Linked DNA regions of Tribolium castaneum. The protein of the gene in region 1 interacts with the protein of each later gene in a pairwise test. Links are inferred from orthologs where the notes say so. Each region holds a gene or a part of one and is shown in the gene's direction. Other genes may lie near its edges.

Evidence for each region.
Region 2: the proteins of Aplip1 (region 1) and Rbp interact in a two-hybrid assay, tested with the Drosophila melanogaster proteins (2 studies listed by BioGRID). The link is inferred for Tribolium castaneum from reciprocal best matches to the Drosophila melanogaster genes Aplip1 and Rbp.

What each region holds. Positions count from the first base shown.
Region 1 is NC_087394.1:6,461,854-6,468,525, forward strand, and holds part of Aplip1 (JNK-interacting protein 1), read left to right. Parts: intron 1-2,670; coding exon 2,671-3,087; intron 3,088-3,144; coding exon 3,145-3,425; intron 3,426-6,672. UniProt on the Drosophila melanogaster protein: The JNK-interacting protein (JIP) group of scaffold proteins selectively mediates JNK signaling by aggregating specific components of the MAPK cascade to form a functional JNK signaling module.
Region 2 is NC_087401.1:8,016,939-8,024,314, forward strand, and holds the start of Rbp (RIMS-binding protein 2), read left to right. Parts: upstream 1-2,489; 5' UTR 2,490-2,613; intron 2,614-7,376.

The sequences.
Region 1 (6,672 bases):
TTTGTTTCTAAATAAATTCATCAGAAAAAATAGATTTGTTCTATATTTAATTTAATAGTCATACTAACATTAGTACTTCGACTTTCATAAGAAATTGGAAAGTTCATAAAACACTCTTAGATTGAGTTTGAAAAAATTTCTTTTTTGTTTTCGAGGATAAATAAGTTCCTTAGTTTATAAAAATTTTCTGAAAATAAAAAACTTTATCGTTCCAAATAATATTATATGCATTTCTAAGAATTCCAGAAACTTTAACTTGTTGGAGTTTTGAAAAAATAATTTTTTGAGTTTTCCAGTATAAATTAATGAGTTTCAGTTTATCAGCAACCTCTAATAAATAAAAGAAAATGTATCTGTAGATATAGTTTAGAAAAAATTTTGATTTTTTGGGTACGTTTTTTAGCAAGAAATTAAAAACTTACCTATGAGCGACATCTAATATTTAAATGCTTCGCTGCAAAAGATTTTGCTCAGCTAGTGTCCTCTAGCAACTAAGTAGCTTTGTCACTTTTTTTTTAAACTTCAATAATAAAAGAAATTAATAGTTTTATATTCTAAATTTCAAAATAAATACTTAAAACCACTCAAAATTTTTGGTTATTATCAAATTGATGTTGAAGCTACAGCAATATTGTTTTATTCTAAAATTGTTCAATTTCTTACTTAATTTTCTCACAAAAATCTGGAGTTTTTATCATGAAATATGTCGAAGACAATAAATTTTTTTATTACAACAAATAGCTAAAGTCCGTAATACAGTATAACTTATTTGAAAATCACTAGGCTTTACGGACGTCCATAACGTATTTTTTTGCACACTAGTTTGTAAAAAATGATAACTTTAAAATTTTAAACTACAGTACAATCTCAAAAGTGTAAACACTAAAAGTCCAGGGCTACTGCATCTGTTCGTATTATCGAGGCTATAAATACATTTGGACATAGGTAAAATAACTCAATTTTTTTTTTATTACAAAGAGTTTAATTCTTTATACATATTTTTTAAGCAACAAGTAGAACGTATAAAGTTTGTTAAAATAATTCTCATCTTATTGCCTGAGACGACTTCATGACAAACCACTTGTAAAACAAGTCGACAAGAAATTACACTAATACAAATATTTATGTTTTTTTTCCACATGTAACTGGTTGTTTATACCTGTGACGTCCGATTACAGCACTGCTAAATACAATAAGTTTAAGCTGAACTAAAACAGTTGTTCTTCACAGAGTGTCTACTCGTATAGTGTCCTATAAATGTTAATGTTGTAGTTTCATTTTGTTAAAACATAAGATTTTTTTGAATAAAGAGTTTACTAATTTATAGCCCGTTTTGTCAGTCCAGTGTTACTTCTAGTTTGATTCTTTTTTTTAATCCTACTTTCAATAAAATTTACTTTTATACACTCTATGTAACAATGAATTCAACGTTTGGCAAAAATGGTGGATGCGCTGGGAAAATTAGTTTATTACCTATTTTATCAAAACCAAATAAATGATTAATTGACAGTATGCATTATTTGTTATTACAAAGATAAGAAATATTAAAGCTCAGTGAAAAATAATGCATACTGTAAATTACTCATTAATTTTTTTGATAAAATGGGTATAAAAATATCTTATTTTTCGACACTGTCATAACTTTCGTTTTTCCTCCAGTGTAAGACAGTTTTGACAACTATTTGGCGTTTCTTAATACAAAACGTCAGATTATTTTTAACAGATTTAAAGCAATTTTAAGCCTTGCTGAGTCTAATTAGATGAGTAAAATGTTGTATTCAACTCTTTTTTGTATAAATCGGTTCATTTACTTTACCTTGTAGATGATAAAGCACTTGTTGTCACTCGTGGTTTGATAATCCACTCGTGAAATAAAACATTCGATTTACACTCAAACTCGTTAAATAATAGGATATTAAAAAATAAGTTTTATAAGATCATTCTTAAAACACGAATTCAAGTTTCAAAAATGAGTGGCATTGGCCACAAATTTTTTGAAATAATGAGTGCTTCAAAGTCTCATGAAACGATTTTTTTAGACTATTTTTTGTAATTTGCCGTTTTTAAACAAAAATTGTTATTTTAACAGATTTAGGGACTTTTTTGACGATTGGTAATGTCGCAATTTTGAAAGTAATAAATTGATTAACATTTTTTTTTATCCAAATTGGGTCAAAAAACAGGAGTATGGATGATATTAAAGGTAATCTTGCAAAAACGCCTTTTGAAATTTAAGAAATTTACAAAAATACGGTTGCGAATTTGGTTCCTGTCAAAATAAAAAATTTCATAAAATGTTTAGTCAAATAATGACTATTATAACTTTGCACTTGATAATGTTGAGTGCTTTAAGATGTCTATTAAAGCATCAAAATGGCGGCAAATTACAAAACTAACTATTATCTCGGCGCATCCACCATTTTTGCCAAACATTAAAAACGTTAATGCTTCTCAAATGCAATCAAAGCGAAAAAATTAATATTTACGGAGAATTTTACCAGCTATAGTTTACACTACACAACATACACGCCTTACGGACTATCTTTTCAACTCTTTGGTCACCAAAATTATTAACCATTTTATTTCGTGTCAAACTCACTGACAGTGTTTTCACTTGTCATTTTACCAACAATTTTTAAATCTTTATTATATACCAGTGTATTTTTGCAGCTTCTGTCGTCAGTATGTACAATGCACAATACCACGTATCTCGAGAAATGTCTCTCGCAGACGAACTAGGCAGTACAGGGGGAGGAGGCAGCGGACCAAGCTCAATCTTAGTATTAAAATGCGGATATCTATGGGACACAGACTCGCCCGATTCGGAGCGCCTTATCACAGACGCCGACAGCGGCCACAGCACGGCCCATTCTCCCACAGGAACCGACGGTTTCAAATCCATGTCGCCCATCATGGGCATATCGCCTTCGTGCGTCGACGGAGGCCTGGTGTACAACGACGTTGAAATGCTGGAAGCCACCCATCGGGGACTTCACAAGTTTGTTCCCCGACACGATGACGAGATCGAGGTGGAAATCGGGGACCCAATCTACGTGCAGAAGGAGGCGGACGATCTCTGGTCGGAAGGTGGGACTTTGAGCGCTGGAGCGCTGCGATAAAACTGATCGTGTTGTTATTATTTAGGGGTTAATCTGCGGACGGGGAGGATGGGGATTTTCCCGTCTGCTTATGCAGTGGACTGTGATTACAGCGATTGGGATTCATCGTGTGAGCACGGGAGGAGGGAGCGGTATTTGTTGGGGTATTTGGGGTCGGTGGAGACGTTAGCACACAAGGGGACGTCGGTGGTTTGTCAAGCCGTGAGGAGGGTTATCGGAAATTCGGGAAGCGATCCGGAGTCGCAACCGTGCATTCTTGAGGTTTCCGATCAAGGCCTGAGGATGGTCGACAGGAGGAAACGAAACGTTAGTATGTTAGGGCGTCTGAGTGTAAATTACATTTTGTGCAAATTTATCATGTGCTTAAACACGCTTAAACTTTTATTTACGGACGATTCTTTGGTTAGAAACGAGATAACACTCTTAGAACAAACAAAAAATGTTTTATTCTAATTCAAAAAATGATTTATGTTAGACTTCGGTCGAAAACAGCTTATTCTGGACGATTTCTTGTTTTATTTGAAAAAAACAGACTAAAAACGCTTTATTCAGTTTCAAAAGAACACATAATGTTAAATGTTAAATAATGGATGAAAACGGTTCATTTTAGACTATTTTTTTGCTTAGAAATGAGTACATTTTGTTAAAACAGACAAAAAACGCCATATTCTGGCCTAAAAGAAAGACGTATGACAGGAAAGAGGAAACGAAACGTTTAATAATTTAAATAAAATTTACAGATAATTCTTTGTCAAGAAACAAGAAAACTTTCATAGAACAAACAAAAAATGTTTTATTCAAGTTAAAAAAAAATATTTATATTAGACTTTGGTGGAAAAAAGCTTATTCCGCATGATTCTTTGCTTAAAAACGAGAACACTTGTACAAAACAAACTGAAAACGCCTTATGCAAGCTCAAAAAAAAACAAATAGTGTTATAGTTAGGATAAAACGGCTTATTTCGGACTATTTTTATAAAACTTTTATAAAACAAACTACAAACGCCTTATTCAGACTCAAAAAAACAAATAGTGTTATAGTTGGAATAAAAACGGCTTATTTCGGACACTTTTGCTTAAAAATAAGTAAACTGGTATAAAACAAACTGAAAACGCCTTATTCAGCATAAAAAAAATTATGTTATAGTTTAGATGAAAACGGCTTATTCCGGACGATTTCTTGCTTTATTTGAAAAAAACAGACTGAAAGCGCTTTATTCAGTTTCAAAAGAACGAATAATGTTATAATTTGGATTCATTTGGTTCATTTCGGACTATTTTTTTGCTTAGAAATGAGTACACTTTCTTAAAACAGACAAAAAACGCCATATTTTGGCTTAAAAGAAAGACGTATGACAGGAAAGAGGAAACGAAACGTTTAATAATTTAAATAAAATTTACAGATAATTCTTTGTTAAGAAACAAGAAAACTTTCATAGAACAAACAGAAAATGTTTTATTCTAGTTAAAAAACTTATTTATGTTAGACTTTGGTGGAAAAAAGCTTATTCCGCATAATTCTTTGCTTAAAAATGAAAAAACTTGTACAAAACAAACTGAAAACGCCTTATGCAGGCTCAAAAAAAACAAATAGTGTTATAGTTAGGATAAAAGGGCTTGTTTTAAACTACTTTTATAAAACTTTTATAAAACAAACTACAAACGCCTTAGTCAGACTCAAAAAAACAAATAGTGTTATAGTTGGAATAAAAACGGCTTATTTCGGACAATTTTGCTTAAAAATTAGTGAACTGGTATAAAACAAACTGAAAACGCTTTATTCAGCATAAAAAAAATATGTTATAGTTTAGATGAAAACGGCTTATTCCGGACGATTTCTTGCTTTATTTGAAAAAAACAGACTGAAAACGCTTTATTTAGTTTTAAAAGAACGAATAATGTTATAATTTGGTTTTATTTGGTTCATTTCGGACTATTTTTTTGCTTAGAAATTAGTACACTTTCTTAAAACAGAAAAAATACGCCATATTCTGGCTTAAAAGAAAGACGTATGACAGGAAAGAGGAAACAAAACGTTTAATAATTTAAATAAAATTTACAGATAATTCATTGTTAAGAAACAAGAAAACTTTCATAGAACAAACAGAAAATGTTTTATTCTAGTTAAAAAAATTATTTATGTAAGACTTTGGCGGAAAAAAGCTTATTCCGCATGATTGTTTGCTTAAAAACGAGAAAACTTGTACAAAACAAACTGAAAACGCCATATGCAAGCTCGAAAAAAAACAAATAGTGTTATAGTTAGGATAAAACGGCTTATTTCGGACTATTTTTATAAAACTTTTATAAAACAAACTACAAACGCCTTATTCAGACTCAAAAAAACAAATAGTGTTATAGTTGGAATAAAAACGGCTTATTTCGGACACTTTTGCTTAAAAATGAGTAAACTGATATAAAACAAACTGAAAACGCCTTATTCAGCATAAAAAAAATTATGTTATAGTTTAGATGAAAACGGCTTATTCCGGACGATTTGTTGCTTTATTTAAAAAAAACAGACTGAAAATGCTTTATTCAGTTTCAAAAGAACGAATAATGTTATAATTTGGTTTGATTTGGTTCATTTCGGACTATTTTTTTGCTTCGAAATGAGTACACTTTCTTAAAACAGACTAAAAACGCCATATTCTGGCTTAAAAGAAAGACCTATGACGGGAAAGAGGAAACAATACGTTTAATAATTTAAATAAAATTTACAGATAATTTTTTGTTAAGAAACAAGAAAACTTTCATAGAACAAACAGAAAATGTTTTATTCTAGTTGAAAAAATTATTTATGTTTGACTTTGGTGGAAAGAAGCTTATTCCGCATGATTCTTTGCTTAAAAACAAGAAAACTTGTACAAAACAAACTGAAAACGTCTTATGCAAGCTATAACAAATAGTGTTATAGTTAGGATAAAACGGCTTATTTCGGACAATTTTGCTTAAAAGTTAGTAAACTGGTATAAAACAAACTCAAAAAAAAATGTTATAGTTTAGATGAAAACGACTTATTTCAAACAATTCTTTGCTTAGAAAAGAGTTAACTTTCTTAAAACTAAGTCAAAATGCCATATTATGGCTTAAAAGACAAGTTTTGTGTTATAATTTGGATAAAAATAGCTTATTTCGGTTGATTTTTTGCCTAAAAACGAGTAAACGTTTATAACTTAAGACGCCATATCATTGTTTTAAAGAAAGTTTTGTGCTATAGTTAAGATGAAAACAACTTATTTTGAACGACTCTTTAACTAAAGTTTCTATTAAAAAAATTCAATAGAATGGGACAAGAAATCACTAAATTACGTAAAATTTAAACTCTCTGCGTTCTAAAATTAGTGTCCAATCTTATATTTTTGAGTGGATCATAGTAATATTGTAATGTATCAGTAGTTGTTTTTATTTAAATTGAACATAAAAAAAGAGAAAAAGAAAAAACCGCAAAAAATTTAAAAAAACGAAATTAGTTCAAACACTAGTAAATTTTTACATTTTCTACTGTATTGGATCGAAAATGTTAGATATAACCTTGCTATACATTAATTATT
Region 2 (7,376 bases), on another chromosome or scaffold:
TTAAAAAAGAAGGATGATGTGTTTCAGAATTTTCGAAAAATCAACCCCAAGGGGGTAATAAATCTTGAATAAAAATTTGTAACTTTTGAATTTACATTAATTAAACTTTGTATTGGGGCTTTCAGTGAAAAGTGAAGAAACACGTGTTTTAGTTGGAAATACTAACGTCAAGGGGGTTGAACAGGGGTTGGAATTTGTATAAAAATCCATAATTTTTAATTTTTTTCCATGCAATTGGTACTTAAACTTTTGGTTAAAGATGAAAAACGTGTGTTTAAGTACATTTGGACTTTCTACCCCTAAAGGGGTTAAATACATATAAACATCCATCATTTTTGAAATTATATTTATAAAAATTGGTATTTAGCCATTCGGTGAAAAATAAAGAAACAAGTATTTTATTATTTTTAGAAATTACACCCTCAAACAGGGATAAACATAAAACATCGTAATTTTTGAAGCTATATTCATGAAAAATGGTATTTGATCTTTCGACTAAAAATGCAAAAAGACGTGTTTCTGGATTTTGGAAATTTCACTTCTAAGAGGGTTGAATATAAAAATGTGCCATTTTCCAAGTTATAACCGAGAAAATTGGTATTTGAGGGTTCATCTAAAAATAAAAAAACGCGTGTTTCAGGATTGTTGAAAATTCTACTCCAAGGGAATTAAAAAAAAATCCTTCATTGTTCAAGTTATACAGGGTGCTCAAAAACTGGCGCACCAACTCACTGATACGTTGTCGAAAAGCATGTGTAGATTACGGGAAAAATTTTGAAAAAATTTCTAAAGTCATATTTAAAAAAATATGGAGCTACAATCTTATTTTGTTAACTTCTTCAGTTCTCATTATTTGTTAATGTTTTTATGTTTCACACTAAGCAATCGATCCCATACACAATGATGAATAGTGATTTTTAAATTTACTATCAGACTTTAGCAGTTTTTTGAATTAAAAAAAAAAATTCATCAAAAAATCAGTTTGTAGATGTGTCAACACTGGGAATTATTTCCTAGGAAACCGTTTCAAAAATAATTTATTTTTATTGTTGATGAAATTCTATTGCAATCACGACTGTCCGACAACGTTGCCACATATCATTTATTTAAAATTCGTTATTTATCAATAACTCTAATGCAAGGAATTTTTTTACTATTTTTACCTTCATATAGAAGCAATTCTCTACCACACACCATTGAGTTGGTACGCCGGTTTTTGAGCACTCGGTAAATATAAAAAAACTTTATTGTTGAAGTTATACATATCAATTAATATCTTAGATATTCAGTTAAAAAGGAAGAGGCGTATATTACACCATTTTTAGAAACTCCACCCCTAATGGAATTAAATGCAAAACTCCTTCATTTTTTGAAGTTATATTCAAGAGAATTGGCATATGGACCTTTTTGAAAATTACATCCACAAGAGGGTTAAACAGGGAATGAGTATGTTTGCAATTATGAAAAAAAAAGCAAAATTTACTCGGGTTTGCATTGGATCACGGTTTTAAAGTTCACAATAAACTGATGTGTTTCTACTTTTTGTTATACTAAGTTTTGCATTGTTTTTCTGTGTTTATAAATGGTTGTAGACATGCCGTGGCCAACTGCTAGTTATTAATAAAATACCAAAGGTCCTTTTAACTCTTATAGAATTTTTTTCATTATGTTTCGGCCGTTACGCCATCTGTTATGTATTTGTGTCTGAGGTTGAAACAGCTCTAACATTATCAAAAATAATAAATAAGAGTTAAAAGGACCTTTGGTATTTTATTAAGTAATTAAAATGGTTCAAAGTTTAATCAATTATGACTCGTTAAACGTCGACCATTTGTGCCAAGTTTCATAAAAAAATTCTATGTCCTTGGTGTTGCAATTTTAATGACATTGAGATAGTTTATGATAAGATTTTCGCATTATGTTTATGTATTACTATTGAGGATTTATTGCACTATTTGCCTGAATTTTGTTTTTTTTTGGTTTGCTACCGTCCATTTTTTCAAATTCATGGTTCGGAAAACTAAGACGGTAATGGAACAACTGCGCTCTCTGGCGACATTAACGGAACTACCGAGAACGGGAACGTTTTATTGGTACGTCGTTTTATATCCTAACCTTGTGACATTTTTATCTCTAGACAGACTCAAACTGTAGCGACCTGTAATTTGTCACTTACTATAAAACTAACTGGAAGATGGCACCAGACTCATTTAAAAATTCAATGATTTGATTTTCTTTATGGAACATTTTTTTTTGCTTTTATTTACTTGTATTGTAAACGATATATTAAAAAAACTAGTAAAACTTATTTTTTTTTGAGTAACGTTTCCTAGTATACAGGGTGTGCCAAGATTGGTGCCAGCCCTATACTTCGAAAACGAAAATTTCTGAAATTTTGTACATGTTTGGCCATTATTAAAATCAAATCAAATCGGAGATTTGTCGGCAGATGCCGCCGCCCCCGGCGTGACGTCACTGCTCCGGTCCCCCAAAATCAATTGCAAGACGCGCGCAGATTGATTCAATAGTGACCTATATAGTGATGCCGCCATTTGTAGCTAGTTCAGTGTCTCCGTCCTTAAATTTTCACTAAAAACATCTAAAAAAATCGGGGTGAGTTTTAGTCACATTTTTTTGCTTCTAAACCCTTCGGGAAAATCCCTATTTAAATTGCCCTTGTTGACTACGTCGCGCTCTCGGGCTAATTTGGAAATGGAATTTTCCAAAAATTGCAAAACGAGGGGGAATTACCCAGTTTAGCCCCTTTTTAGGGGTGCAAAAGCGTTGCGAAGGGTGAGCGCGGACGACGGTTAGCTTTTTGGAAATTCCCCCGGAACGCATAAATAATTTTAAAATCGATACGAATCGCGTGACAAGTAATTATGTGAAATTTTTGTGTATGGTTAGTTCGAAGGGAGTAATGATGGGTTTAATGTGTGATTAAGGGTGGGTCGATTTTTTCGACTTATTAAAATTCCAGAGGCGTTCGTCGGTTCTGATGGATCGGAATAAAGACGGGCTTTTGATCGACCAGATTTTTACATTATTTTCACACTATTTTATCAGCGATGGGCTTAAAAGTGGTTTATTATTACATGAATCGATACATGTGTTGTAGCAATTTAAGAGTGATAAAGAGTTATCTATTAGATTAGTGCTTGAGAGGCTTCGACAGATTCTTGCAGCTTTTTCCACTTTTTGCAAGCTCTGTGCTAATGATAATTCGCAAAATCAAATATCAAAAAGTAATAATTCATTAAAATTAAATTTCCAATTTTTATTTTTAGACAATTCTGCACTGTGGCAATTTTTTAATTGGAACGTTAAAATAGCGACATGACAGTTAATTAGGCAAATATCAGCGGATATTTAAAATAATAAATTAGTGAAACACCAGTTTTTTGCTAACTTTTTGAACGATTTTTGATTGTCCTGATTTATTGTCAGAAGTGCATCAACTCAATATCCAATGACAAACACAATAATGCAATTTTTTTTAGATTTTACTGCCATTTATATACTTTTTAAAACTTTGAATACACAATAAATAAATCTAATTTTTCTGTAGTTAGCGCAATTTTTTAACATTCCTTAGCAGACTCATCCTGTAATCAAATATTTCAACGGGTACAAAAGTCAAAAATATTAGATATTAAATATTAATCCGTCGAATTTATAATCATTTTTATGTACTCATTTTGGACACTTACCTAGCTAATCTTTGTTAAAGGCATTGGCAACTTATTTTGCCAGTTCTATTTTTTAACGGAAATTTAAAATATCGCTCGTTCCATGCCAGTAGGTTTTTTTCAAAATTTCCTGGAGAAATAAGTGAAATAATCGCTTCGAAAGAAAGAAATCGTGACGTCACAACCGCCTTTCATCACTCAACCTTCTCAATCGTCAAAAACTTCACAGATATTTGAACATTTTTCACACATTTTTCACAAAATCAAAAATTAACTACTTTTTTGACTAATTTCTGTTCTAAATTTTGCCTTAAAAACATCTTACAATTGGACCAAATGCTCAATAGGCGGTTACAACGTCATAACTCCAACTTTAATTCGAAATAACTTGAGTTAGAGAGCAGATACAGAAGAACGGTAAGCACTTGCAGTACTATCATTTAAAATAAAGTTGTTTTTTAAGTTGCCAATGACTTTAAGAATTTCTAGTTTTTAAAAGTACTCATGCATAAAGTATGAAGTCCACACTTTGAAAAATTTTGTGAAGTCTTTTAGAATTTTCAAAATTGTCAATTGCCAAAATTCAAGGCTAGTAAGATTTTTTTTCAAAATGGTTTTCAAAAAACAGTTTTTTCAAAGGGAAGGACCATAATTTCTTAACGGTAATCGAAATTTATGGTGAATTTTATCAACATATCAATTTTATCAACGTGGCCCAGGGGGTGTAATCGGTCTATTTTTTGGTAATTGAAATATTGCTATGCTGTTTTTATTTTCCGATAGATAGACCTAAAATCCACAAACTAAAAATATTTTTATTATGGACAGGATGGTGAACCAAAGTTATATTTTTCTAAATGGTACACCCTAGATATTTTTGCATAATTGGAATCTACGCAAAAAATAATGTAACTATTATGGTCTATCTTTATCCGTTTTTGGAATTACTGAACTTTTCGTTATGAAAAGACCAATTTTTGAAAAATCAATCCAAAGTCCGGCAAATTTTGCAACAAAAAAATTTAGAATACCTTGTAGTTTTAGCAAATACATGACTTTTAGTTAAAGCAAGCTGATAATATACAGAGTGTGCCAAAACGCTAAAAGTGGAATAACTCATTGTTTTTTTTATGTATTGATAGCATTTTTGATAAGCTTTCTGACGGTATAGCAAATTTAAAATATTTTTCAAAATTTTTCGAAAAAAATCATTTTATTACAAGAAAATTTGTTATCCTAGAATCCTAAAATAAGTCAAATGGTAATTTATTTTTTGGTATGTACTAATGTGACTAATTACATTAGTAATCTAATTATTATTTGATACATAAATGAATTTTGCTCATCAAGAACTAATAATAAAATAAGTAAAAAAAATATTATTTTTAAACACTTTAAGAAATACTTCAAATTTGTTATGCAAACCGCATATCATTAGAAAGCTTATGAAAAATGCTATCGATACGTGTAAAAAATATATGGTGTTCCATTTGAAAAAAAATGAGTTACTCAACTTTTTGCGTTTTGGCACACCTGCGTGTTTTAAGTAAAAGTCGACTATTACTAAAACCAAAGCCAGTAGATATACTAAAGTAGCGACACGGACCTTGACAGGGCAACAATAACGATTATACACTCTACAGATGGCTCCACCATCAAAATTCAAAAACGTACGTCAAAAATGTCAAGATTTTCTCACGTTTGAAAAATTGGTGAATCAGAACAATAAATTCGGTGATCGTCTATAATTTCACCCTGGTTATTACTGTTTATGTGTACAGATACCATGAAACCTTCAAACCTGTGCTTCACTCACGTAAAGTAAATCAGATCTCCCTAAATTCAACTGAACATTGCAATGAGAAAGGCTTTTAGAATGCGCAGAATACAGCACCTCTTATGGACATTTCGAGGAAGGCGCTTCAATAGTGAATTCATTTCTTAAAGGAATTTGAACTTTATATTTAACGAAAAAGCCAACAACACGTTTTTAAATAATAGTTGTTGAACTCAAAAAATTTTGTTACCTACATTTCTAATTTTAATAAACTGCTCCCTAAGTGTTTTTACAGGTTATCGTATTTAATTACTCCAGGATTTTAAATTGGTCGATTTATTTTTTTTTTAATCAAATTTAATTTTTTCCCTCAACACTATTAACAACTGCTATGAAACCAAGACATCTTTCGCAATAAGAAAAGTAAGTGTTTTCAATATTACCCGAGAGGTAAACCGCAGAGGAAATCAGTGTACAAAATCAAGAAATTTTAAGGAAATCACTTTAAAAATTTAGGGAAAAATCAGAAGGAATCATGATTAAATCACAGGTGTACAAAATTTGGGGTACGGTTTACACCTCGATATTACCTAAGAAATAGAAATAATACAACCTGAATTTCTCTTTATTATTGAAATTTTGTATAACATAGTTGCTGTAAATAAGTGGCTATAAAAAGTCCACCAAACTTCGATGCGCTACAATTCCCAGATTTAGATGCATTAAATTTTCTGAAACGAAGGTCAGTGTAAGCAGAGCGGTCTTAAATTCTTTCCCATTAGGGCGGAATCTAATAATTTAGAATGAATTTTCAAGGAAGTATTGTTTAAATCTACCTGAAATACTTAATGAAAATTTGGTATCTTAGAAATTTCTCTTTCAAGCTGATACCTACCACTTTACATTTCTTAAACAAATTTTGTTTGAATGAGTTTCTAGTATTCTCACACAGACGTGTTTCGTAATGTAGACGACTTTGAACAGTCTGGAGGCTCCTTTGTTTAATGTTTTTGGTGTCGATTTATTATTTACGTGATTGAAGCACAGGTTTGAAAGTTCCATGGAATCTGTTCATAACCAATAACCACAGTAAAACTACAGATGAACACCAGAATCACTGTACTCTTTACCAATTTTTCAAAATGAGAGAATCTTGACAGTTTTGACGTATGTTCAAAATTACTGACAATTTGACGAACCTTTAAAATTACAGCGTTATTACAAAAAATGTCGAGCCTTGGAAAACTAAACTGCCTGTTTAAATACATTCTTGATTTAAATCTATCATCTAATGTGACCTTTAACGAATATCTCTTTAGAGCATCCCCTTTAGCAATTTCATTTAGTGAAGATTAAACGTAGAAACAGAGACAAAACGCACTTACTAAGGCTTTTCAAGGCTAGGCATTTTATGTAAATAATGCGGTATATGTCGAATTTCGATAGTTGCGCCCTCTCTAGAGTATATAATCGTTATTGTTGCCCTGTCAAGGTCCGTGTCGCTACTTTAGTATATCTACTGGCTTTGACTAAAACTACAGGGTATTCTAAGTTTTTCTGTTGTAAATTTTTTGGAAAATATTTATAGGCGACTTTGCAGTGAGTTTTCAAAAATTGGCCTTTTTTATAACGAAAAGTTGAATAATTCCAAAACGAAAAGAGTAGACCCATAATAGTTTGTATAAAGTTACATAATTTTTTTTGCGTGGAATCCAATTATGCAAAATTATATAGGGTGTTTCATTTAAAACATGTAACTTTAGTTCACCACCCCGTATTCAATACCCTGTGTACAATTAAAAAAAAATATTTGTGAACTTTAAATTGATCTATCTAAAAGTGAAAACGGCATGGCAATAGGCAATATTTCAAATAGTAAAAAAGTTATAATCCCTGTATATAACTTAGTG